Linked DNA regions of Drosophila melanogaster. The protein of the gene in region 1 interacts with the protein of each later gene in a pairwise test. Each region holds a gene or a part of one and is shown in the gene's direction. Other genes may lie near its edges.

Region 1 (7,559 bases):
ATTGAATAGTCCTCCACTGCAAATCGAGCGGAAATAAGATTGAAGAAACCTTTTACACACTTGCGTGTTTAACTTACGGCCAGATGTCAGTTCCTCCAGGATTAAGCTTGTTCTGCAGAGCCTTGAGCTTAACAGCTGCCTCAGCCACCTTCTTCACCGTGGAATTGTAGACCTCCTCGTGGGACATGTACTCATGGTTGAGGCCATAGCCATCCTCAAGATCGCTGAAGATCGCTTTCTCTGTCGATTAGAAATTACACTTCTTATACAACTTTCAATTATGAACAGAATAAGTGGTAGCAATAAAAGATAGAATCAGTCGTAAAGATAATGGTTCGATTTATAAAGTGTGACTGTGCCCTTCGTTATCACCTGGGGGTGTAGAGCAGCCCTTTAAGCTGATAAGAAAATTAGCTTATTTGCAATTGCAGGGAATCGTAGATATCACAAGTGCTATCACGATCTTTTATTATTGATAAAGCAATAAAGGTTTTAATTCGGCTGCTCAACAATGTATAACAATAATTGGACTTCGGGCCATTTGATGAACTGTTTGGACCCCGATTTTTTTGATGGCAAAGAAGCTTTAATTGAACAAAACCTGTGCCATATCACGAACACCGGCGTGACGCTAATGATTTTTATCTTTAACAATTACCGATTTCGCGCTTCTTCTTCAGTTTGTCTTGACCACCGTGCCACCAGGCGGAGAATTCCTCCACATGGAATTCAGCTGCAGCACGTTCCTTTTGAAGATCTGGATTCACTGTGCTCGGTATTAGGTTTTTAATATGCGACATTGTTGTGTGCAAAATAAAAATACGGAATTGTTAACAACTAAACTATGATCCACCACTAGATCCAATCAACAGCTGTGAGCTCCACGCGACTACTGAGCGAAAGTGGATGGATCGGCGAGAATGAAAAGCTTTTGGGGGGGCAAAGTGCACAAGACAGCTTTTCAAGAGAGAAAGCTGATCGACAAAGCAGCAGATGTTCATGGCTTGGCAAAGAATTCATTTAAAGAGCGGTATATGTTGGGTCTATATTATTAAAGAGTATTATTTACAAAAATAATACAAAACACCAATACATATGGGGTATTTACAATACATTACATTGAGCCTAACTCTAGATAGGTGGTTTAATAAACAGCTGTCCAAGGCACTAGATGTTTGACTTCATGAACGGCCTCAGGATCTCATGGAAGTACTTAGGCACTGCTTTTTGGTTCATCGGATTCTTGAGGGCCGCATCGAAGATACGCTCGTAGGCATTGCCATCGTAAGAGCCCAGAGTGGAGTTCAGCTGCAGATCGCTGAAGTCAAAGCCATCCACAATGGCCACAGCATCTGGTCGCAGTTTGGTGAGCACTGTTTCCAAGCGATCCTGCAGCCCGGAGAGATCCGTATCGGTCAAGTTAATGAACTGTGGAATAAGAATATATTAAGTTAACATTCAACACATTCTAGGCTAAATAATTGAAACCCACTCTCAGCAGGTGACCCATTTGATTAAGTGTCTCCTTGACTAGGTACAGCTCCAACAGGTTCTCCAGGACTCGATTGAAGTTAGCTGAGCGCGTCTTAGATTGAGGACCGGTGACTGCTTCATAGAAAGCACTGAAAACAAAAGCACGTCCGTGGAGCTATGGGCAAGAAAAAATTTAGAGTTTTTCAGAAATCGGTAGGGCACAGTCCAAGTCACTTTAGCACACTAACCTCTGCCGCCTGGGTGAACTCAATGCCCGTGTGATTAGCTGCGTTCGCTTCAGTTTCGCCCCTTGACATACGTTTGGAAAGGCTCCTGAATGCCAACTGTGTTCTATTGGCAGCTGCATACTGCATGGCCTTAACCATGTTCTCCCAACTTCCAGTCCAGGTGCCAAACTCCGGATTCTTTTGCACCTCGGCCAAATAGCGAACGGTGGGCGGCAACGGAGCTCCAGTCAACGCGGCTCGCCACGTCTTCATTAAAAAGCGACCGATCTGCAGAAGCAGTACGGTGTTCTCACCCTCATACGTGCAAGCTGCGGTGGCACTAACGTATATACTGCTCATGTTGGATGAGGTGAGGAATCCATGACCACCACAGGCCAGTCGCAATTTCTCTACACCAGAAGCGGAGTCCATGGAGCAGGTAACTTTCAAAGCGCAGGACAGAGAATGCAACTCCGGCAGACGTTCGTATTTTCCGTTTTCTATATCCTCGATGGTCACATCGTACAGATTCCACAAGTAATCACCGGCCTTTCGGTATGCCACGCTTGTGGCAATCTCTGGGAAGAGTTTCATTTGTTGTGTAACATGATCCATGATCTGAGGCTCTCGTTCGCTGAAAATAAACAAGGGACAATTGAATTCGAATAAATGTATCTACGTTGTTAACAACTTACTTGGGATTAATTGGGCTCTGACGGCGCACAGCCGAGTATCTGGTTGCAATGGTGGCAGCAGAAGCCAACATCACGGCATTGTTTTTGGCAATTACACAACGCGTGCGGACCATGGCAAAGTAGGTAAGCACATTGGTGGGACTACTAACATAGGATCCATCAGCCTTCACCTGAGCATGTCGCATCAGCATTCTCGTACGAGGAATCCGTACGTTCTTTAATCCAAGGAAACCATTGTTTACGCCAATGAAGCCCATTTTCTTGCCAATATCACCGATGTGGACGCCGGGCAGTGGTTCGTGGGTGTCTTCATCACGCACCTGAATAAAGAACATGTGCGGACCCTTGCAGTCGCCGTCGATGTACAGCTGAGCCATAACCAGGCAGTGATTGGAGCTGTGGCCCACTGAAAATTTATAGTTAAACTTTAATATCTGAAAACCGATTGGATCACCATGCCAGAACTTACAGCCTCCGGGCCACCACTTGTAGGAGGAAATATTGGGGGTGTTGAGTACAAATTGATCAGTCTTTCGATCAAAATCAGCACGCGTTTCCAGCCCGCGCAGGTAGGTTCCATGACCCAGTTCCGTTTGGGCATAGGTGCCGCAAATCTCGAAGAGTTCCACCCGCTTGCCGAATTCTTCATACTGCTCCGGAGTGCACTGAGCCTGCAGAGCTTTCACCAGCATCACGTACATCACACCAAAAGGATTGCCACCGGGAACGAGACCCCACATCACTTGAGCGTCATACAAATTCCTAGAAGAGTAAGGTAATCAGTCATTATTCGTGTACTTGGCATCGGTAAGCAGGAAACACCCACGGCCAGTAGACATCTCCGCCAGGATTGCGCTCCTCCTGCAGGCGGCGTAGCTTCTTGGCGCCTTCGATTGCTCCACGCGTGGAAAACTCGATGATCTCTTCGTGGGTTTTGTTTTGCAGCTGCAGCATCTCCGACAAATCCACATCCTTCTCCATATATTCACCTGGTCATAGAGAAAAACAGCCCAGTCAGCATGACCCCAAATTATCTGTTCCCACTGATAAGCGGAGCGATGATTAGTTTTATGGACTTACGAACGCCGCGGTTGAACTTTAGCACTTCCTCGCCCCCCGCCCACCAAGCGGCGAATTCTTCGCTGTTAAAGCTGGCTGCATCTCGTTCCTTCTGCAGATCGGGATTTACGGTGGTAGGGATAACCGAAGTGGAAGAGGCCATAACAACTAGATTTAGAAAACCTGCGAACTGCGCGCCAAGAGCACCGACCGCTTACTGACTTTAAAACAGCCGATGGCTCTTCATAAATATAAGTGAAACTTGTAGTCTTTGCTCTTTCGATACGAGTGTTTTTGATTGAATGCTTTGTTATGGCGCAACCGTTATCTGGGTAATCGCTGGATCCCAGGTCAAAATTTAATCGGATGCATACTCCACTTTACTACCTTATTACGCTGACATCAGGGTGGTAAGCACAATTAATAAGATAAGATTTGAATACCAACAAAAAAAAAATAGGTTTGCCCCCACAGATGTTAAGACTCAAATTAGTAAACTGATAGCAAGTTTTAGATCACTTGCGATCATCTCACTAAACACAGATATCGGTCAATAGCAGCATGTTACACTTCTCTGTTAACTAACACCACTGTTATCGGTTATTAGAAAATCGAAAGACTTCCATCTCAATTGGATTTCTATTGTTTGGTTTAGTGCAGTCTATTTTTTACCTCATTTTTCCTCGGCGTACAATGCCGATCAACTTTAATATTGGCTTGCTGGGACATGTTGACAGTGGCAAGACCACCTTGGCCAAGGCTTTAAGTTCGATTTCCAGCACGGCCGCCTTCGACAAGAATCCGCAATCAGTGGAGCGAGGCATAACTTTGGATTTGGGCTTTAGTGGACTTTTGGTGGATGCTCCTGCGCACTTACCTCAAGGAGAACAGCTCCAGTTCACCTTTGTCGACTGCCCCGGCCATGCAAGTCTTATACGCACTATTATAGGAGGTATTGATAACATTTAATGTCATTCTAAGATCCCTTAGCTAAACTAAACAATTGCAGGTGCCCAGATCATTGATCTCATGCTCCTGGTGGTGGACGCCCAAAAAGGCAAACAAACCCAAACAGCAGAATGCCTCATTATCGGGGAGCTGCTGCAGAAAAAGCTGATTGTAGTGATCAACAAAATAGATGTTTATCCAGAAAATCAGAGGGCGTCCAAGCTGGAGAAGCTACGCTTGCGGCTCGCAAAAACTTTGGAAGCCACCACATTCGGTGGTCAAGTGCCCATATGTGCTGTGTCTGCTTTGCAAGGAACACATATCGCGGAGTTGCGAGAAGTACTTAGAGAAGCCTACTTTCAGCCGCAGAGAAACCTAGCCGATCCACTCTTCATGTACGTTGATCATTGCTTCGGAATAAAGGGCCAGGGAACCGTTTGCACTGGCACTCTGCTCCAGGGAAAGGTTCAGGTAAACAATGTGATTGAGCTGCCAGCTCTTGGGGAGCAAAGGAAAGTGAAGTCCATACAGATGTTTCGCAAAAACGTGACCAGCGCCTCTATGGGCGACAGAATTGGGCTTTGCGTGACACAATTCAATGCAAAGCTGCTGGAGCGTGGAATCATTACCCAACCGGGTTACCTGAAACCCATCTATGCCGTGTGTCTACAGTTTAAACCCATCCGCTATTACAAGGAAGTCATAAAATCTATGAGGAAGATGCACATCTCCGTGGGACACAACACAGTGATGGCCAATGTAACTTTGTTTCGGGATACGGACGGCACAACTTCCACTTTCCAACTGGACAAAGAATACGAGTATATGGAGGACGTCCAGCCTGCGGAGGTTCAACATAATGATGTGATCTACGCTCTGTTGCAATTCGAAAGTCCTGTTCTATCTCCGCCACATTCAACGCTGATTGCTTCGAAGCTGGACATGGATGTCCATAGTACCAGTTGTAGATTGGCGTTTTGGGGACGCATTGCCTGGCAGACGCACAGTTCCAAATACTTTCAGGAAGAACTGCCGAAACTGCGGATTTTCAAGCGCAAACAGAAAGTGGGAAGCATTCAGCGAGTGGTCAATAGCAGCGAAGTGATAGTTCAAAACCTTTTTAAGGACGCCAAACGTGATTTGTACGTCGGCAAGAATGTGGAGCTCTCGACGGGAGAGAAGGGTCGCATTGAACGCACCTTTGGCCAGACATCCAAAGTGGCTATAACTTTTCAGGACGCCCTATCTCCTGAAACAATAAGCAATGTGAAGAATGTTAAGGTTTTGCTGAACTGTAAGAAATATGTGTTCAATAAACAGGCAGGCTTGTTTCAATGACAAAGTTAATAACTAGGTTTTTTTTATCTCTAATTTAAATATTCCGCCAAGGTGGTAAATTTATCGACCATTTATATTTAAGAATGTACTAATGCTGTTAAATTGCTGTTATTTTCTAACATTATACCTTTAGAGCCATAAAACTTTCGGTATATTTTTAGATCTCTGCACAGTGGTATTTGCGACCGCTCCGAGTGCGGTCACACTGACCCAATCCCAAAATGCCAATGTTAAAAAACAACAACAATTTTGGAGCCTGCCCCCGCGAACTGCAATAAACAAAACATCGAAACCGGAATCGAAAACGACAACAGATAGTACCCGCGAGAAAGAGCTCCCGCCAACAGAACACCACCACCGCCTGTCCAACCGAAGTGGCCAAAAAGAACACCACCCATGTTCCCAGTGCTGCTGCTCCTTCTCTTCTTCTTCGCCAAGGAAACCCACCAGATCAATGTGGACTGCAACGAGCTCCAGATGATGGGCCAGTTCATGTGCCCCGACCCGGCGAGGGGTCAAATCGATCCCAAGACACAGCAGCTGGCCGGATGCACCAGGGAGGGTCGCGCCCGCGTCTGGTGCATCGCCGCCAACGAGATCAACTGCACGGAGACTGGCAATGCCACGTTCACCCGAGAAGTGCCCTGCAAGTGGACGTGAGTGCAGCTACAGTATCTCATAAACATAATCTTAAGACCTATATTCTATTCCTATTCTATAGGAATGGCTATCACCTGGACACCACACTGCTACTCTCTGTCTTTCTGGGCATGTTCGGCGTGGATAGATTCTATTTGGGCTATCCGGGCATCGGACTCCTCAAGTTCTGCACCCTCGGCGGCATGTTCCTGGGCCAGCTGATTGACATCGTGCTGATAGCCCTGCAGGTTGTGGGTCCGGCGGATGGCTCCGCCTATGTGATACCCTACTACGGAGCCGGCATCCACATCGTGCGCAGCGACAACACCACGTACCGGCTGCCCAGGGACGACTGGTGATGGTTAAGGCAGCACAGCGCCTGGTGTACAGTAGATCACTTTAAGTCCTTGTTATACCTTAAGTACGGCTTATGACACTAACGATAAGCAACGACTGCGGATCCGTTCCGATCGAACAATGGATCGCTTCGGTTCGGATCGAGACTCCGGATTAGTGCATTACGTACCCTCCTAGTTGATAAGTGTATAGATTGTTGCCACCCTTCCTTTGCGTAGCCTAAGTTGCATTGTTTAGACTTAGTTACCAATGTACATGGTCCCTCATACAATTCTACATCTATGTACTTGTATAGGCCGCATAGACAAATTGTTTGCCAATATAACTAACGATTTTAATTAGTCTGTCGTGTATGCCGTGTATATGTATGTATATGTATCTTCCGTGGAATTCCCTCTTTCAGCTCGCGGACGAACAATCGCACTTCTTGGCAAATATAATTGGCCCACTTGTACTTTGAACTCGCGAACATTTTCGGCGTGACAGAGATTGGTCAACAAGAGAACAAAACGGAGAAGCCACAGTGCCGGCGACATCCCGCCTTGTTGACGTTGTTGACTCACCGGCGAAACGCCCAGACACCAGAGCAGCACATCATCAACGGAGAACGATTACGCACAAACTGGGCTATTGCAGAGGCGACGGTGGCGGCGGATGATCTTTTCTGTTCGGAAAACATTTGCTCTTCTGGCCCTTTCATCCGATTGGCATTTCCGAATTTATCAGCGGCGACGCATCAGCCGGCAAGTTGTTCGATTTTAATTGCATGGCCGTGGTCGCTTGTAATTCGATGCGTTTTAATTAGGCTCTCAATTAAGATCAA
Region 2 (7,688 bases), on another chromosome or scaffold:
CGGGGCACAAAGGCCAATCGCTTTTCCTCAGGCATTTCTTCTCTGGCTCAATTTTGATGAATGGACCACAAGCGACCACAAGGCGACAGTCTCTCTGGTTATATAACGCCCATTTACCCTGGTGATAATTAGCGGCGTGTCCAGATCGTTGCCGCCCACCAAACGAATGCCCCAGGGCGTGGCCTGACCATCGCGCAGTAGCACCACCGCAAACTCATGCAGCTTGGGGCTCATCCTGATGTTGAAGATAGACTGGAAGATCAGACGCTCATCCGATCCAGCGATGGTTTATCCCGAAAATATATATTTATTTTTTATTGTTTATTTTTTTTTCTGGCCTTTTCTGGCCGAGCCGCAGGCGGCGCGCGATTGCAATCCGTTAAGCGTTTTGTTCGATCGCAAAGCTGCTCAAGTACTAATTTTAAAATACAATTCGTATTCCTTTTTGCAGCAACAGCAGCGGCAGCAGAGTACACTGCGCCACAAGTTTGTTTCTTACATACACATATGTACATACATGTACAACTTATATCCGCCGGCAACGGCGACTACATGCTGAGAAACATGAATTCGATTGGCGAATCCTAATCGTTAAATGGGGTTTCCGCTAAGAGCACTCTGAATTTCTCAGAGCGGATGTCGTGGATTCAAAAAGCATCAGGAGCATTTACCTCGGCAAAGCTCATAATTACCACAAGATAATTAGGCGTATACTTGATAAGCGGCTGCATATCAAATTACGCATACGCAGTGTTAATAAACATGATTGCTTGCATGTGTGCCATGTATTTAAAGCTTTACTATTTTCATTATTATATATACCCAAATCGCGAAGAGCATCCGCAAGCCACCACAAACTCAAACCTTTTCCCACATTGTTCCCATTGTTTAATTCGACGTGTGCCCTGCATTTGTGGCATTCTGCATTTCGTTGACCACATTTTAGGGCAGCACTTGATCCAGTTGCACGCTGACCCTGAAGAGATGAATGCCACATATCATCATCTAGGCGAATGCTTTGATGAGCTAGCTCGCCTGATGCAAAAAAGCATAAAAATCAAGTATCTAGGCATCTGTTTTTCCTCGACATTTTCGACTATTTTATTAGTGTTTTATTCCTCTCCGACTTGTTTGCCGAACGATGAGGCAACCAAGAGAGAGTGTAATTAGTTTTAGTTACTGAGGCGGTACTAGCACAACTGCAACAACCAATTCGACACTCTTGCCCAATTTAAATAAGCAAATCATATTAGATTTTTAATGCATTAGTCAATGGAAAAGTCTACGGCCAACGTGACGTATACGCAATATGAACGGGTCAACGGTTGAAGGACGTTGGTTTGTATTAAACATTCTGTCTGCCTCTCGATTTTGGCAACAATTTTACTGTTTACAGCGGAAAAATCTTTTCCTGCCTTTTGGCTTTTCGCTGAATATATACACAATATATGGCTTGCCATTTCATTTTTAATTTTATACATTCTGATTTCGGCACTTTTTGGCTGGCTCTTGAAATGTTTTTACTATTTGCGGCTTGAATTGTTTTCATTTCATTTTCAATTGGAATTCGTGTAATGTTTTTACGGTGACTTTTGCTGTAGATCAGCCTTGAGCGGATTGTAAATCATTCGAAATTCTTCACCCAACGTCTTGCGAATGGTATAAAAGTCATGCCAATGGAAATATAGATCCATCCATCTTTTTTGGGCCATTTTACTTGACCGAAAAGTGCAGCAGTGGCCAATTAATTAGATTTGGCTTGACAAATTTACGAGCCGCAAGGGGCGAAATGTTATTGAACTGATTTCTGAGTCGGCCTGTTGTGAATTGGGGCCACAAATACATTGGAATACGAATAAGAAAAGAACACACGCGCGATGATTGACAAGCCGGGCGATTTGAAAGGGGTTGGGGCTTCCACTTTTCTCGGCCACTTGGACTTACCCCCACGTTTTGCTCATCGGCAAAATGGACGCGCTTCTTCAGTCCGCTGCTGCTGCGCCGCCTGCAGGGCGATGGCAGCGGTACGAGCGGCGGTTTTGGGGTCGGCTGTGGACGATAGGACGTGGGCAATTCGTAACCGGGCACCTTCCAGAAAGCCGGTCGACTGAATGACGCGGACGCCGATGATCTGCTGGTCGTCATTGCTGGCCAGCGACTAGAGTAAACAAAAGAAATGCTCCGCACATTCAGAAATATGCGCTAAATTCTACGATTCGAACGCGTCTGCTCGCGACTGCGTGTGTGTGTGCACTAGTAGGCAATTGAAAAATCAAATAAAAGCGGAGAAAAAATCAGAGAAAATGAGCGAAAACAGAATATTATTATTCATTCAAAATCCAGTGAAATAGTGAGACGCGGAGAATTATGAATGGATTAATTGATGTTTCAGTTAGTAAATTTGATTGAGCAAAGAAAATACATACAAGCAATATCTAATAATCATGATTTAATCATTTTCATTTACAATTTAAACAATAGCGCCTTCAGCTTTACAAGATCTGGCAACCAGCTTAAAAACAGTTTTTCAATTAATTAATTAAAAAGAACAATACAATTAAGACAGAAGGTAATTACATACATTTTTACGAGGACAGTAAACCATTTAAAATTTCGATTTATTTATAAAATTTAATCGTTAAAAACTTTGAATTTTACCGCCCAATGCACTCAAAAATCGATAGTCGCAGAGAATAATCGATTAGAGCTCGAACCATCTGGCAACGCCCATTGTTTTGTTGTGTTTTATACCTGCAGATTTCACCCAGCATAAAACTGAGATAAAGCTTTAATTAATTACACATAGGGGTACTGCAAGATCTCAGCATAGCCCCGCCCACATAAAGCCGCAGCATGTCTATTTTCAAGGCGCGGTAAGCTGTTATTCTAAGCTAATCCAAACTTCTCCGTAAACAAAGACTTTCTCTAACCAAAATGCAGAGTCAAGGAATTTGAGGATGTTTTGGCGGGGCCACAGGATTTAATTGACCTGAAACAACTCAGGAAACTGGCATTTAATGGTAGAAAGCTAAGAGTGCATTTGAAATGTTCAAAATTTGAAGTCTGAGCACTCCACAGGTGTGCCCGATGTGCAGAGTTTTCGAGCACTCAGTTGGAAGCTACTCCTTGGCTATTTGGGGCCTAGGCGCAGTAGTTGGACCACAACCTTGGCCCAAAAGCGAGCCCTGTATAAACAGTTCATCGAGGAGCTAGTCCTGCCCCCCGGACACTCGAGCAATAGAGCTAGCGTAGACGGAGGAGATGGGGACAAAGTCGATTCGGGGGGCGTTGGCCTGCAAGATCATCCGCTGAGCGAGGGACCCGAAAGCGCGTGGAACACGTTCTTCAATGATAACGAGTTTCTACTGCAAATCGACAAGGATGTCCGCCGCTTGTGCCCGGACATATCCTTTTTCCAGCAGCCCACCGATTATCCCTGCGAGATTGTGGTCCACAGCAAAGGAGAGCATGGACGAAGGCTCCACGAACGGGTGGTTCCCGCCGTTCTAAGTTCGGCGAATGTGGAACGCAAGGGCCTCGGCATGACAAAGGTGAGTTCAAGATCGGAATTGTGCTAGACAATAAGCTCAGAATGTGTTGTTTCATTCATGCATACCGTGTGGATTTTAGCAGCAAGTAAGTAAGCCCATCTGGAACTGCCCCAAACCTAATGAATATGTGTGCTCTATATAGATAAATTTGATTACAAAACGCTCCGTTGAAAACTATGCCGCCATGGAGGAGGGCCAAGAGGCTCACTGGGAAGTTGTGCAACGCATTTTGTTCATCTATGCCAAACTAAATCCCGGCCAGGGATATGTCCAGGGCATGAACGAAATCGTGGGACCCATTTACTATGTTATGGCCTCCGATCCTGACCTCACATATCGCGCCCACGCTGAGGCTGATTGTTTCTTTTGTTTTACCGCCCTGATGAGCGAGATAAGAGACTTTTTTATTAAAACACTAGACGACGCAGAAGGCGGCATCAAGTTCATGATGGCCAGGCTATCGAATATGCTGAAATCAAAGGACCTAAGCATTTACGAGCTACTCAGGAGCCAAGAGCTGCATCCGCAGTATTACAGCTTCAGGTGGCTCACACTGCTCCTGTCGCAGGAGTTTCCACTGCCAGATGTACTGCGCATTTGGGATTCCGTGTTTGCGGACGAACAGCGATTTGATTTTCTGATAAAAATATGCTGTTCAATGATATTGTAAGTAAACTTAGCTTTAGTATAAAGCAAGAACTAATATGAAATTTTGCAGAATCCAAAGGGAAGCAATTTTGGAAAACGACTTTGCCTCGAATGTGAAACTCTTGCAAAACTATCCGCCAATTGACATTAATGTTGTGATTGCTCATGCCGGATCATTGGCGTAGCATTCCTCCAGAAATATATCCTTGTGCCCAAATGCTTGCAAAGCCCCCTAGTTAGTTTAACAACTGAAAGAACCAAGCAATCAACTATACTTTAGTTAGCCCCAATCTTGGAAACGCACCCTTACAGGAAGTCCAATAAGTACACGCATTTTCACTTTTTTACATGACTTATAATTTGTATGTCATTAATAAACGAATTAATTTTAACATTTCGTGGTCCCAATTAGATAAACGTCAGAACGTTAAAGAAGTCATAGGTTGGTCAGTCGTTAAAAGAATACCGATGAACGTGTGGCATCGTCTCATTAAACTTAAACACCGTTCGAAGGTTCACTTGTTAAGCTTTGGAGCTGTGTCCTTGCATATGGACTGTGCAATAAACTCGATGAGTGTCCTTGTTGGACGTCCGGCCATGCCCTCTCGCAGATACTCGAACTCATCACCACGTGTGATCATCACGTTGGTGGCATCCTGGATTAAATCACAAATCAAATCAAAGTCCTACAACTAATAAAAACAAAACTTACAATATGCATCCATTGGCCGCAAGGCACAAATTCACGAAGGAAAGCGGCAGCTTTGCAAGGACGTCCACCACGACCGATACCGTAGTTCTGGACATCACTGCGTCCACCGGCACGCACCGCCTTGCTGTAGTAGTTCCACAGGGGGAAACGCCACACGCGGTCTCCAGTGTGCATGCTGGCGTGCTTGATCTGCTGCCAAAGGATCTCAGAGTTGGTAAACACCCCACAGGCAGCCTCATCCAACGCTTGGCGCATATATCCCGAGCAGGTGCCAATGTCAATGATGCACTTCGGACAGAAGTTCTGCCCGTACAGAAGGGCATCCGCCAGCACTAGAACATCTTCGTGGTCGGTGCACTGCACCTCAATGGTCTTGCCATTCATGGATTTCACCATGTCTCCAGGACGGAAGGAATTGCATCCAATAACGTTCTCGCACAGGGGTATTAGTCCACGAATATTGACCTAACGGTAATATATGGTTATCCAAGGAATAACATCGGGTCATCCAGTCACTTACCGGTAACCTCAGGCCAGCGACAGCACGACAAGTGGCCACCACTACGGCCGCACCAGTCATATCTCCGCGCATGTGGAAAAGTTCCTGCTTCTCCTTTAAGCACAAACCACCTGCATCGTAAGTCACTCCCTGCCCAACCAAGACGATGGGTCGCTCCTCGGCACAGGTGCCGTAGTAGCTCAGCTCCAGAAAGATTGGTGGTTCGCAAGAGGCCTTTCCCACCGCCAAGAAGGCGTGCATCGACTGGCTCTCAGCCCAACCCTCGACTTTGACCTCTACATTGACGCCGGACTTACAAAGCACTTCGACGACATTCTGGGCAAAGGCAGTGGGGGTCAAAAGGTTGGAGGGCATCTCCTGCAACTGGCGGGTCAGGTTCTGCGCGGCAGCCTTTTGCAGGCCGATACGCCATCCTTCTATGTCGCAAATCTCATCCTTAGTGGCATACAGATCGATGGAAGGCACTGAGATTCGCCGCTTGGGATCGCGAAGCTCCTGGTAGATCCAGATCCCGAGAGCTGCTCCCTCCGCGGCAGATTCGGCGTGTCCACAGTTCTCTACTTCGATGCGGTCGGTGTCCAGTTCAGCGAGTATTCGGCAGGCATCCGCTACCGACCGTCGGATGGCCTCCTTCTGCTCGTCGAGCACCTCGTATGGGTTATAGCCCAGGCATTCCTTACCCAAACCGATAACTGCCACCGCCGAATAGTAGGGCACGCGCTCCGGCTCCACGGCGAACAGGAGGCGGGTCTCTCCCCTTTTGGGCATGGGTCCGGACATTCGCAGCACTTCTAGCAACCGACCGTGCGTCTTCTGCACATTGTACTTCCAGCCGGTTGGCGTCAGGATGCCAGCGTCGTTCTTGTCCTCCTCGTCGGCGTAGACTCCAACGACCAAGCCACGCGACGGAGGATCCGCGCAGATCTCCATCTGCTGCAGCTGCAGCATCTGGTTGATCGCCTGCGAGGCGTACCTGCGATGACGGATCACCTCCGGCCGACGAATGGAGAGACTACACGCCCGGGTTATGGCATTGCGAGAAAACCGAAACATTTTGCTTGAAGTTTAACTTAAAACTTTGATGAATGCTGAATAATATTACTACTAGTATTGAAAACTTTCTCTTCGATTTTCTGTGCCGCTTCAAAATAATTCATGAAATTTTTTCACCCAGACTAGCTAAAAGTGTGTACGTGTTCAACCTCGAAACGAATAAAAATAAGACTGAGCTAGTCCTATGTTTCAGTTCCGACGTAGCACTGACATTAGTCTCGATAAGGTTGCTAGATCATCAGGATTTTAATGTAAAATCTCTGCCTGCTAAGTGCGAATTTTTTAGAGAATATGTTCTTAAGATGAAATGCTCCAAATGTCAATTGTGTTGCGATTTGCAACATGCTTTTGCACAAAATAGCAATCGAAGGTTAATGTTCTTGCAACTGTCTAATGCACTCAATAAAAGTCATAAAATCGCTAGATACCATTACTACGCATACCACAGATTCGATTTTCATTACAATGTACATTTTCCTGTATAAGTTACTTCAACTACATAAATTCCCCAAAGGCGATATCCATGAAATATCTAAATATATTGTATAGGCTTATTGAAAAGCCAATATGCATAGGCTTGTATCCCAATAAGTACTCATGCCATTTCTAAGAACCATTATATTTGCAAATATCATTAAGAACCATTTACAAAAAAATTTCGATTTGAGTGCATCTTAAGGTTTTTTTTTTATTAATTTGCTTAATATGTTTATGTTTACTTAAAACGAACAAACATTTTTTCCCTGGGAACAATGTCGTTGGAAATTTTTAGGGGACGCTGACGAACTGACTAAAGACATCCATCCTGCACAGACTTCAAAATATTTCACCAAAATATGGACATAGTGATAGCGCTGTCACTGCCGTTGGGATTTCGCATCTTCGGTCAGCTGCTCATGGCCCGATCTCTGCACTTCGTCCTACTTGCCCATCTTGGGAGCGGTGTCTTTGCAGATCGTCTGTGCAATGAATTCGATAAGAGTACGAGTGGGTCGGCCAGCCATTCCGCGTCGCAGGTACTCGAAGTCAATACCGTTGGTGACCATCACATTGGTGGCATCCTAGGCGAATAAAAGTATTAGTTGAATATAATTTAAGCCATGCTAAGCAAAGTGCAACTTACAATATGCATCCATTGGCCGCAAGGCACAAATTCACGAAGGAAGGCGGCAGCCTTGCAAGGGCGTCCACCACGACCGATACC
Region 3 (7,344 bases), on another chromosome or scaffold:
ACAATCTGAAGACATATCCTCCTCCCTAAATCAAGTTCCCAAGGAGCTGTTTGGGGATGGTGAACAAACCCGGACATGTTACCCGGCCTGGAGTAAAAACAAGACCACACTTAAGAACTATTATCGGATTAATAGGTATCTAAACCACCTATGGAGGCAGTACTCGCACCAGAACCATCCGAGTTATCGAAACGTCCCCCACTTGCTGCGGCTTCACTCCAGAAACCTTTGCCTGGCACACTCACAGCATGGAACGCCGGCCATAAAAATCGGCATTGCCAAAATGGTAACCAAATATGGCCAGCTCATTTGGCAGCACTCGACGGAGCGCGCAGCCCACAATCGGTCGCTGGGCGTGGTGATCTTCGATTCTGTGAAATATAGAGACTATCTACACCAGCTTGGCATTCAGCAAACCCATCAGCAGGTGCAGGTTTTCATCTTGGATGCGGCTGAAGAGTCACTGTATGTTATGCCACAGCAACACACATTCTCCTACGTAGCTCTTAAAGATTTTATACGGCAGTTTTACGCCAGAACATTGCCAAGGACTCACAAAAATGCTCTTGCCATGATGGAATCTGGGTTCAGTAGAAAATACAATAGACAGATGCTGTTGCAGGCAATCCAGCGACCAAATGTCACCAATGTGGTATTTATGCATCGTCCTGACTGCGCTCTGTCAGCCGTTCTATCCCAAGCATTTCTGCAGGTTTCGGCGCTGCTCGGCAGCCCCGAGGTGCACTTTGTACGCTTCGATAGCCAGGCTAATGATCTGCCCTGGGAGTTGGCCATGCCAACCACGCCGTCTCTAATTGTCTTCCCCCAGGCAAAGAGCGCGGAATCCGTGGTTTTCCCAACCGATGTGCGGATTGATGTGCAAAACGTTTTTGCATTTGTGATCGCCCAATTGGAGCCGGAGCAGCAGGTGCGTTCGGTCTTGACCAGCTGCAGGCGGCGGATGCGTAACGTTAGGAGCTGTCTTGACTTTGCCCGCAACCTGGTACTCCAGCACGTTAACCAATATCTCAAATTCTGGGATATCTATGAACGGGAGCGGGACGACATCCTTTCGCACCTAAGGGAGTTCAACAACTTGCACATGTCCATCGAAAGCAGCATTCGATTATAGCGAAATCCCCCTGAAATATAACTTTAGTTAAAAGTTACCGTTGATATTTCCTGTAGATCGTAAGGCTAAAGTTGTCTCTTCATAAGATATTTAACACTCATAGTTGTATAAATATACATACATATAAACAAAGGGTAAATCAATTTTTTTTCGTAGCTTTATTTTTAAACAAAGTTCAGGGACAATGTAAACAATCAAATGTGCGGCCGAAATGACTTTTGATTCAACTTCTTTTTTCTTCCACTAAAGTTCTGTTACTCAGCAAGATATGTGCTTATTCAGCCTCGGATATAATCGAATATTTGTTCTGCGCCCTTGTGAATGAGCCAAATGTGTGCATGTACGCTTTTTCCTTTCTGCAAATGGCATGAAAAAGGCTCGGTATTGTTTTGAAATTAAATTCTTCTTAATTTGGAATATTGAATAGTTGGGCCACATGATGGTAGCTACCACCGCATGTCTGAGCAATACAAAGCTTTCTTAGCAGAGTGCTTGCGTTTTCTAGACATATCTTGATTTCATTTTGATTCATACGATTGAATACATTATGATCCTTAGCCAAAAAGAACTCCAGTCTACGAGCGCGTAGATGATCCACCAAATGACTCCACATCTCAACCAATAGGGTGCCCAGGTCTCTTTCCCAGTCAGCACTTTCGAGGCGATGAAGCAAAACTGTTTTCAACATGTAGCTGGACAAGTGAGGCAATTTCCTGGCGTGGGCATCCCGCAATCCTTTCATCAGCCGTAGAACGTTCTTCAAATTATCCTTGCCCTTCATAATTTCGCGCTCCCAATGTGGTGCACAAACCATGAATGTGGTTCTCGGTTTAGCCGACTTCTTCTTCTGTTGCGGAATGGCGAACCATGGCCAATTATTGCTAACATCAGCAGGAACCGGGCAAATATCAAACGGCCATTGGCTTCCAGAGAATTCGAATGCTGGTACCAAATCAAAAGATATCGAGCGACTACCACAAACGGCTAAAATGGTATGGGCACAACCATACCCCTCAAGAGTATAGGTTAATTTGTAGACTCGATTACTGGTAGTGGCAATTGTCTGATTAGACCTGAATACCTTGCGGAATGCATTGCGTAGCCAGTCTTGAAGTACAATACGATGGATGCGTTGGGGATTGATTACGGTGAGATCAGCCTCTAAATAAATAAACCCTTGGTCGATCCGAGTCGGTCGGATATCAAATGGAAACTTTAGTTTCATGTGCAGATCAAATTCATCGGGCAAATTTAGCTTGACGCGATCCAAGTAACTTCCTAAAAGATACGTGTACATATATTTTTAGGTACATAATGTACATACATAACGATGAATTTACGAAAGTACAACATTTCTTGCAAAAATGATAAAACAAAATAAAGCAAGAGATATCAATTGTAATTGTATAGCGTTGGATTATCTCGACTTACATTTGTATTACTTCCGTCAATTTACACTTTTATTAAAAATAATATTGAATGCATTAGAAAATCGACCAGACAATGTCTTGTAACTAACATTATTCTATTTATTTGTTTTGTTTTTATATAGAAATATATGTAGAATATATGTAGAATATATGTAGATATTTAAAATTAAATAACTTACCTCCAAGACTGAGTCCGTCGAATACCTGGCGAAAGGTTTTGTCTACCCGCTTAAGTTCGTCAACTACATAGTTTTGAATTTCCTCGGCTTCCTTGGTATATACGGCCCTTTCATTGTCAGAGATTGACAATTTCTCAAGAATTCTTTGAAAATGATTAGCGGTACTCATTTTTTCACAGAAGCCTAACGTTGAACTTCCAAATCAAAACTTTTAGGAACGAATGAGGCCGCATTTGCTGCGGTTCTTGATTTTATTAATTACGTTGTTGTACCGCGCTGATTCTTCGCATTCATGTGTGGTGAAAAAGCGATTTCACCATTTACCGCGACGACCAACACTATTTTAGAGATGCACTAAGAATCCACAATAAATGACTGAAAAAATAAGGAGGAGCAGGAATCAGGATGTCCAGGATACAGCGATCAAGATTACTCCACGCAGCTCCAAGTACAAAAACCAGCACAGGAAACGGGAGCAGCAAACCTCTCTTCTGGACTTTGTCATCAAGCCGAGACCAAAAACACAAAGGCAAACAAAGGCACATAAACTTCAAAAGACACATTTAGCCATAACAAGAGGTAGCTACATAGTTTACAAACCCAAGGGCAAAACCCGCCTTGATCCCAAGAAGAAGATCACCAGGTTGAAGAAGTCCGTACGTGTATATCGCACTTCAAAGAAGGCGGAGAGAGAAGTCGCAGAGAATGATCTTGAAGGAGTCCCAGTAGTTGGTCAAGATATCAATCCGAATGCTATTCCGCTGGAGCAACAAGTTCAAAACCTATCACTTAGTAAAACCCCTGCACCCAACAACCCTTCACAAGCAAAAACAGTACATGCCATTCACTCACGGCGATTTAGAAGGTTTGATTACACTGGTTGTACCTTCTTTAAACGTTGAAATATCATGTTTGATCTCTTCCAGCTATTGTGACAACTGCACCCGTCCTCGCCTCAAGGAGTTGTCCACTCAGTTGTTAAGGGACCTGGATCGATTTCAGAAGCGCGCCTTTGCCAAAAACGAGATTAAAGCGCGTGCACATCCCCGCCTGGTTTTGGGTGTTCGAGAAGCTCTGGCGAGGCTAAGGATAAACAAGGTGAAATTGTTGTTCCTGGCCACTGACTGCGAAATCTGCCCCGGCGAAAGTGAGTAATCGAATTGTTCGCAAATCAGCCATTAATAATATCCGCTTAAAAAGGTGGTCTAGATGCGACTATAGAAGGCTTGAAATTCCAATGCCAGCAGCAACAAGTGCCCTATTGCTTTCCTCTGCTGAGAAGGGAGCTTTCTTATGCCCTCCAAAAGCGAGCGCAAATTTGTTGCGTTGCTATCCTTGACTTTGACGGAGCGAATGCAACCTACGCAGATCTTCTTAATGAAATAGAGGATGCCCGTGCGGAGTACAAACGCAGAACTGCTTCGTGAGAGTTTATTTCGTGACAAATAAATATAAGTAAAAGTGCCAGGAGGACGTGCTCGAAACATCGAATAAAACATTCAAGAAAACAAAGTTTAGACCGCCGGTGTCATGGTCGTGGTGACGAAATCACGCAGCGTGGAGCTAATATTATCCATATCGGTGGCGGCACCAACCAAGCCGGCGGTGTCATTAAGCGAGTTGAACGTCTGTATAGCCTCTTTGGCCTGCTGGGCGGCCAAATTGAACTGAATCAGGATGATCAGGTAGCTAGTGATCCCGCCACTCACACCATACAATGTTTCCATGTCCAGGGTAAAGAAGCCGCAAGCCGAAAAGTCCACCGAGTGGTTGAGCAATTTTAGCGATAGGTGGTTAACAATTTCGTAGAGAAGATTATCATCGGCCACCACGCCACATTTGTGCAGACTGATTCCTGTGCGCTTGGAGGCCTGCGACGTTTTCCAACTCAGGTAGATGAGGTACACGCATTTTCCAGACGTATAACTTAGAACTATAACAGTGATGAAGGGATTCTTGGCGGAACGGAAAAGCGATGGTATCGATTGGTACTGTGTAGCGCAGTAGAGGAAATAAAGTTGAGCAGTGAAAATCAGAAAACCATAGGCCATTAGAGATAGAATGGGATAGCTCCACAGCTCGTTCAAAGCTTTTCCGATTTCACAGATCTCGTCGTGCACCTGGCACAGGTTGTTTAGTTTCTCCTCTACCTTAGCGGCATTTCCCAGCTCGCTTTCATGGACCATGTTAGTGGCCAGGGGAGGCGGTGGAGGCTTCCTGCTGGCCGCATCAATTGCTTCACCAAAGGAGTTCATGGAGTGGGCCACTGGTGCTACTTTGTTTTTCCCCGAACCAGACACTGAACTCTTGCCAATGGAACCTATGTCCATACCTCCTAGTTCCTTGTACAGATACTCCAGGTTGCTGTCATACTGAGGCGGCTGGGAGCTGTCCAGAGGAGGCGGAACCTCTTGATTGCCTCGCAGCCACAGCTTATGCTTCTCGTGCGTGTCCACCAGTTCCTCTAGGGTGGCGTTTATGGCCTCGAAGCGTTCTTTCAACGCATATAACGAAACAGCGAACCAGATCTTGTCTAGCGTGTTGATGAACGTGGGAATGGCGGACACTATCCATAACAAGGACATCCATTGACTATAGTCCACCAGCTTGACATAGGTGCTCACCAAAATGGACAACTCAAAGATGACCGTCATGATCAGCATAATTCGTATGCGCCGTCCAATTGTACTGTTGTCCATAACACACCCCTCTTTGTAAAGGCGCTCATCCACCAGACGGATGCGCTCGTAAAGCTCTCCAATTCTACCCTGGTTTCGTAACGCGGTCAACTGGTCGGAGACCATCATAATCAGACCGATATAGGTCAGGAACAAGCCAATCACGAAAGTCAAGGTGCCTGGGAAGAATGAATAACATGGTTATGAGTTTGCACCTTTCAAGGCGGATGGTTAACTGACTCTGCGAGGCCTTTAGGCTGCGGTCCTCCTCTCCAAAGGAATATATCAAAATATTATAGAGCACAACGTAGAGTATTAAAGTACTCAGCATGTAAATCATGCCATTACGGGATTTCTCCAGCAGATTCCTAGATCGAAACTTCTCGAGATCCTGTGGCAGAATTCCAGCTATCTTGGATATGAAGAACAGTTGCTGGAACTGCTGCAATAGTGGTTGCACTGCGTCCTCCGCCTGCGCCATGTTGTCCATTGAACACTACAGCTTTGAATAACCGATTCCCACTAACATCAAGTTATTACCTGCAGAGTGCACTTAGCCTAATTAATTGACCCCTCCGCCCCTAATCGATACTATCAACATGGTCTATCTACTGCGCCATGTTTGGGACAAGAAACGCGGATGAGCTTACTTCTTGTGGTGTTTATTAAATGGAAAAATTTCATGGGTTTTATATTGGATATATATGTCTGTAAATTTAAAGCCAAATGTACACGGCATTATTAATATTCAATGCGAATAATTTTCTAGAATGAGAAATCTGCCTCCAAAATCCGTGTCAGATGTTTTTCTTGTGGTGGCTGTTACACATAAAAGTTTATTTAGTTTTGTTCTGGCGGCGTTCATTCTGTTTTCGCTCCTCCTGCAAATAATTAAGAGCATTACTGGTATTGCCTTTAAACGGTGCAAAAGCAAAGGACATAAATATAATTTCACAAACAGCTAGAGAACTTTGCAAAAAGTTTCATTGGCAGTTTTTGGAAATAAATATACTTCCCACAAGTGGTTTATATAGACCTAAGGATCCTAGCCTGACTGTGAAAGTACACTTATTGCCTTGGCTGCAGGAAATACCGTTTAAAATGGTTTTTCACATCGAATTTTATACTGGAAGCTTTTGCAAAGTGATCAGCATGTTTTCGAGGATAATCTGATTGAGCTATTTTGGGCAACTGGCTCCGGCTTGAGCTATCTTAAACCATGAAGGTCTTGAGCTGGGTAAGGGGGCTATATAACAACTGATCGTTGGGATAAACCCTTGTCGCGGAAACATACCTTTTGCGTCAGTATAATCAGCAAACGGCGGAACATGCTGAGTACATCGAAGAACAAATCTAAAGCGTGCTGCACCACATCTCGATTTCCGTTTCGGCACTTCTCCACAATGTTCTGTGTATCGTAGACGATGAAGGCAGCCATAACGAAAACGCCGACGTAAAGTTGAGTCTATAAGGAAAATAAGAATTTGTTAAGTATTACAATTATGAAATATTCAGTTTTCAATGCCTTGGAATGGAAATTAGAAATTAGATTTAGAGGATACAAATTAATACGCAAATTAATGGGCACTCACCACTTGCACGAAGTAGGACTTGAAGACCATGTTAAAGAGACTCAGCAGCGCCATGGTGTTGATGACGCTAACCAGCATCCCACCCAGATAGAGGTACTTGCCCTGCTCGGCCAGAAGGGCGGACAAGGAGAGCGAGATGAAGGTGACGAAGGTGCCCGTAAGGGCAGACAGGATTATTGCCGGATTTATGCTGCATATATAGCCGAGGAGCGGTCCGAGCGTCTGGCCGGAGCAGAATCCGAAGGCGTAGAGCATGCCCAAACGTGTATAATAGTTCTTGCCGTCATCCTTGTAGAAGTGCAGACCCAAGACCAGGACTAGAGTGGCCACCGC

Evidence for each region.
Region 2: the proteins of eEFSec (region 1) and GAPsec interact in a two-hybrid assay, tested with the Drosophila melanogaster proteins (one study listed by BioGRID).
Region 3: the proteins of eEFSec (region 1) and Sbp2 interact in a two-hybrid assay, tested with the Drosophila melanogaster proteins (one study listed by BioGRID).

The regions. Positions count from the first base shown.
Region 1 is NT_033778.4:21,382,740-21,390,298, reverse strand, and holds eEFSec (eukaryotic translation elongation factor, selenocysteine-specific), read left to right. Parts: upstream 1-4,077; 5' UTR 4,078-4,147; coding exon 4,148-4,406; intron 4,407-4,463; coding exon 4,464-5,740; 3' UTR 5,741-5,747; downstream 5,748-7,559. Other genes in the region: Acox57D-d (acyl-Coenzyme A oxidase at 57D distal), read right to left, coding at 1-16, 78-240, 659-800; Acox57D-p (acyl-Coenzyme A oxidase at 57D proximal), read right to left, coding at 1,168-1,428, 1,493-1,648, 1,722-2,334, 2,396-2,801, 2,865-3,157, 3,222-3,384, 3,476-3,617; bisc (biscotti), read left to right, coding at 6,137-6,396, 6,462-6,738.
Region 2 is NT_037436.4:8,618,940-8,626,627, reverse strand, and holds GAPsec (GTPase activating protein, SECIS-dependent read-through), read left to right. Parts: upstream 1-2,726; 5' UTR 2,727-2,853; coding exon 2,854-2,873; intron 2,874-2,940; coding exon 2,941-3,020; intron 3,021-3,078; coding exon 3,079-3,551; intron 3,552-3,693; coding exon 3,694-4,217; intron 4,218-4,269; coding exon 4,270-4,384; 3' UTR 4,385-4,589; downstream 4,590-7,688. Other genes in the region: Zasp66 (Z band alternatively spliced PDZ-motif protein 66), read right to left, coding at 1,945-2,145; S-Lap2 (Sperm-Leucylaminopeptidase 2), read right to left, coding at 4,715-4,855, 4,912-5,376, 5,432-6,484; S-Lap1 (Sperm-Leucylaminopeptidase 1), read right to left, coding at 7,405-7,545, 7,608-7,688.
Region 3 is NT_037436.4:8,301,081-8,308,424, forward strand, and holds Sbp2 (SECIS-binding protein 2), read left to right. Parts: upstream 1-3,076; 5' UTR 3,077-3,112; coding exon 3,113-3,606; intron 3,607-3,667; coding exon 3,668-3,888; intron 3,889-3,941; coding exon 3,942-4,168; 3' UTR 4,169-4,245; downstream 4,246-7,344. Other genes in the region: CG13671 (uncharacterized protein), read left to right, coding at 1-1,132; CG7194 (uncharacterized protein), read right to left, coding at 1,539-2,410, 2,742-2,910; Gr66a (gustatory receptor 66a), read right to left, coding at 4,256-5,598, 5,660-5,900; BI-1 (Bax Inhibitor-1), read right to left, coding at 6,256-6,300, 6,714-6,884, 7,012-7,344.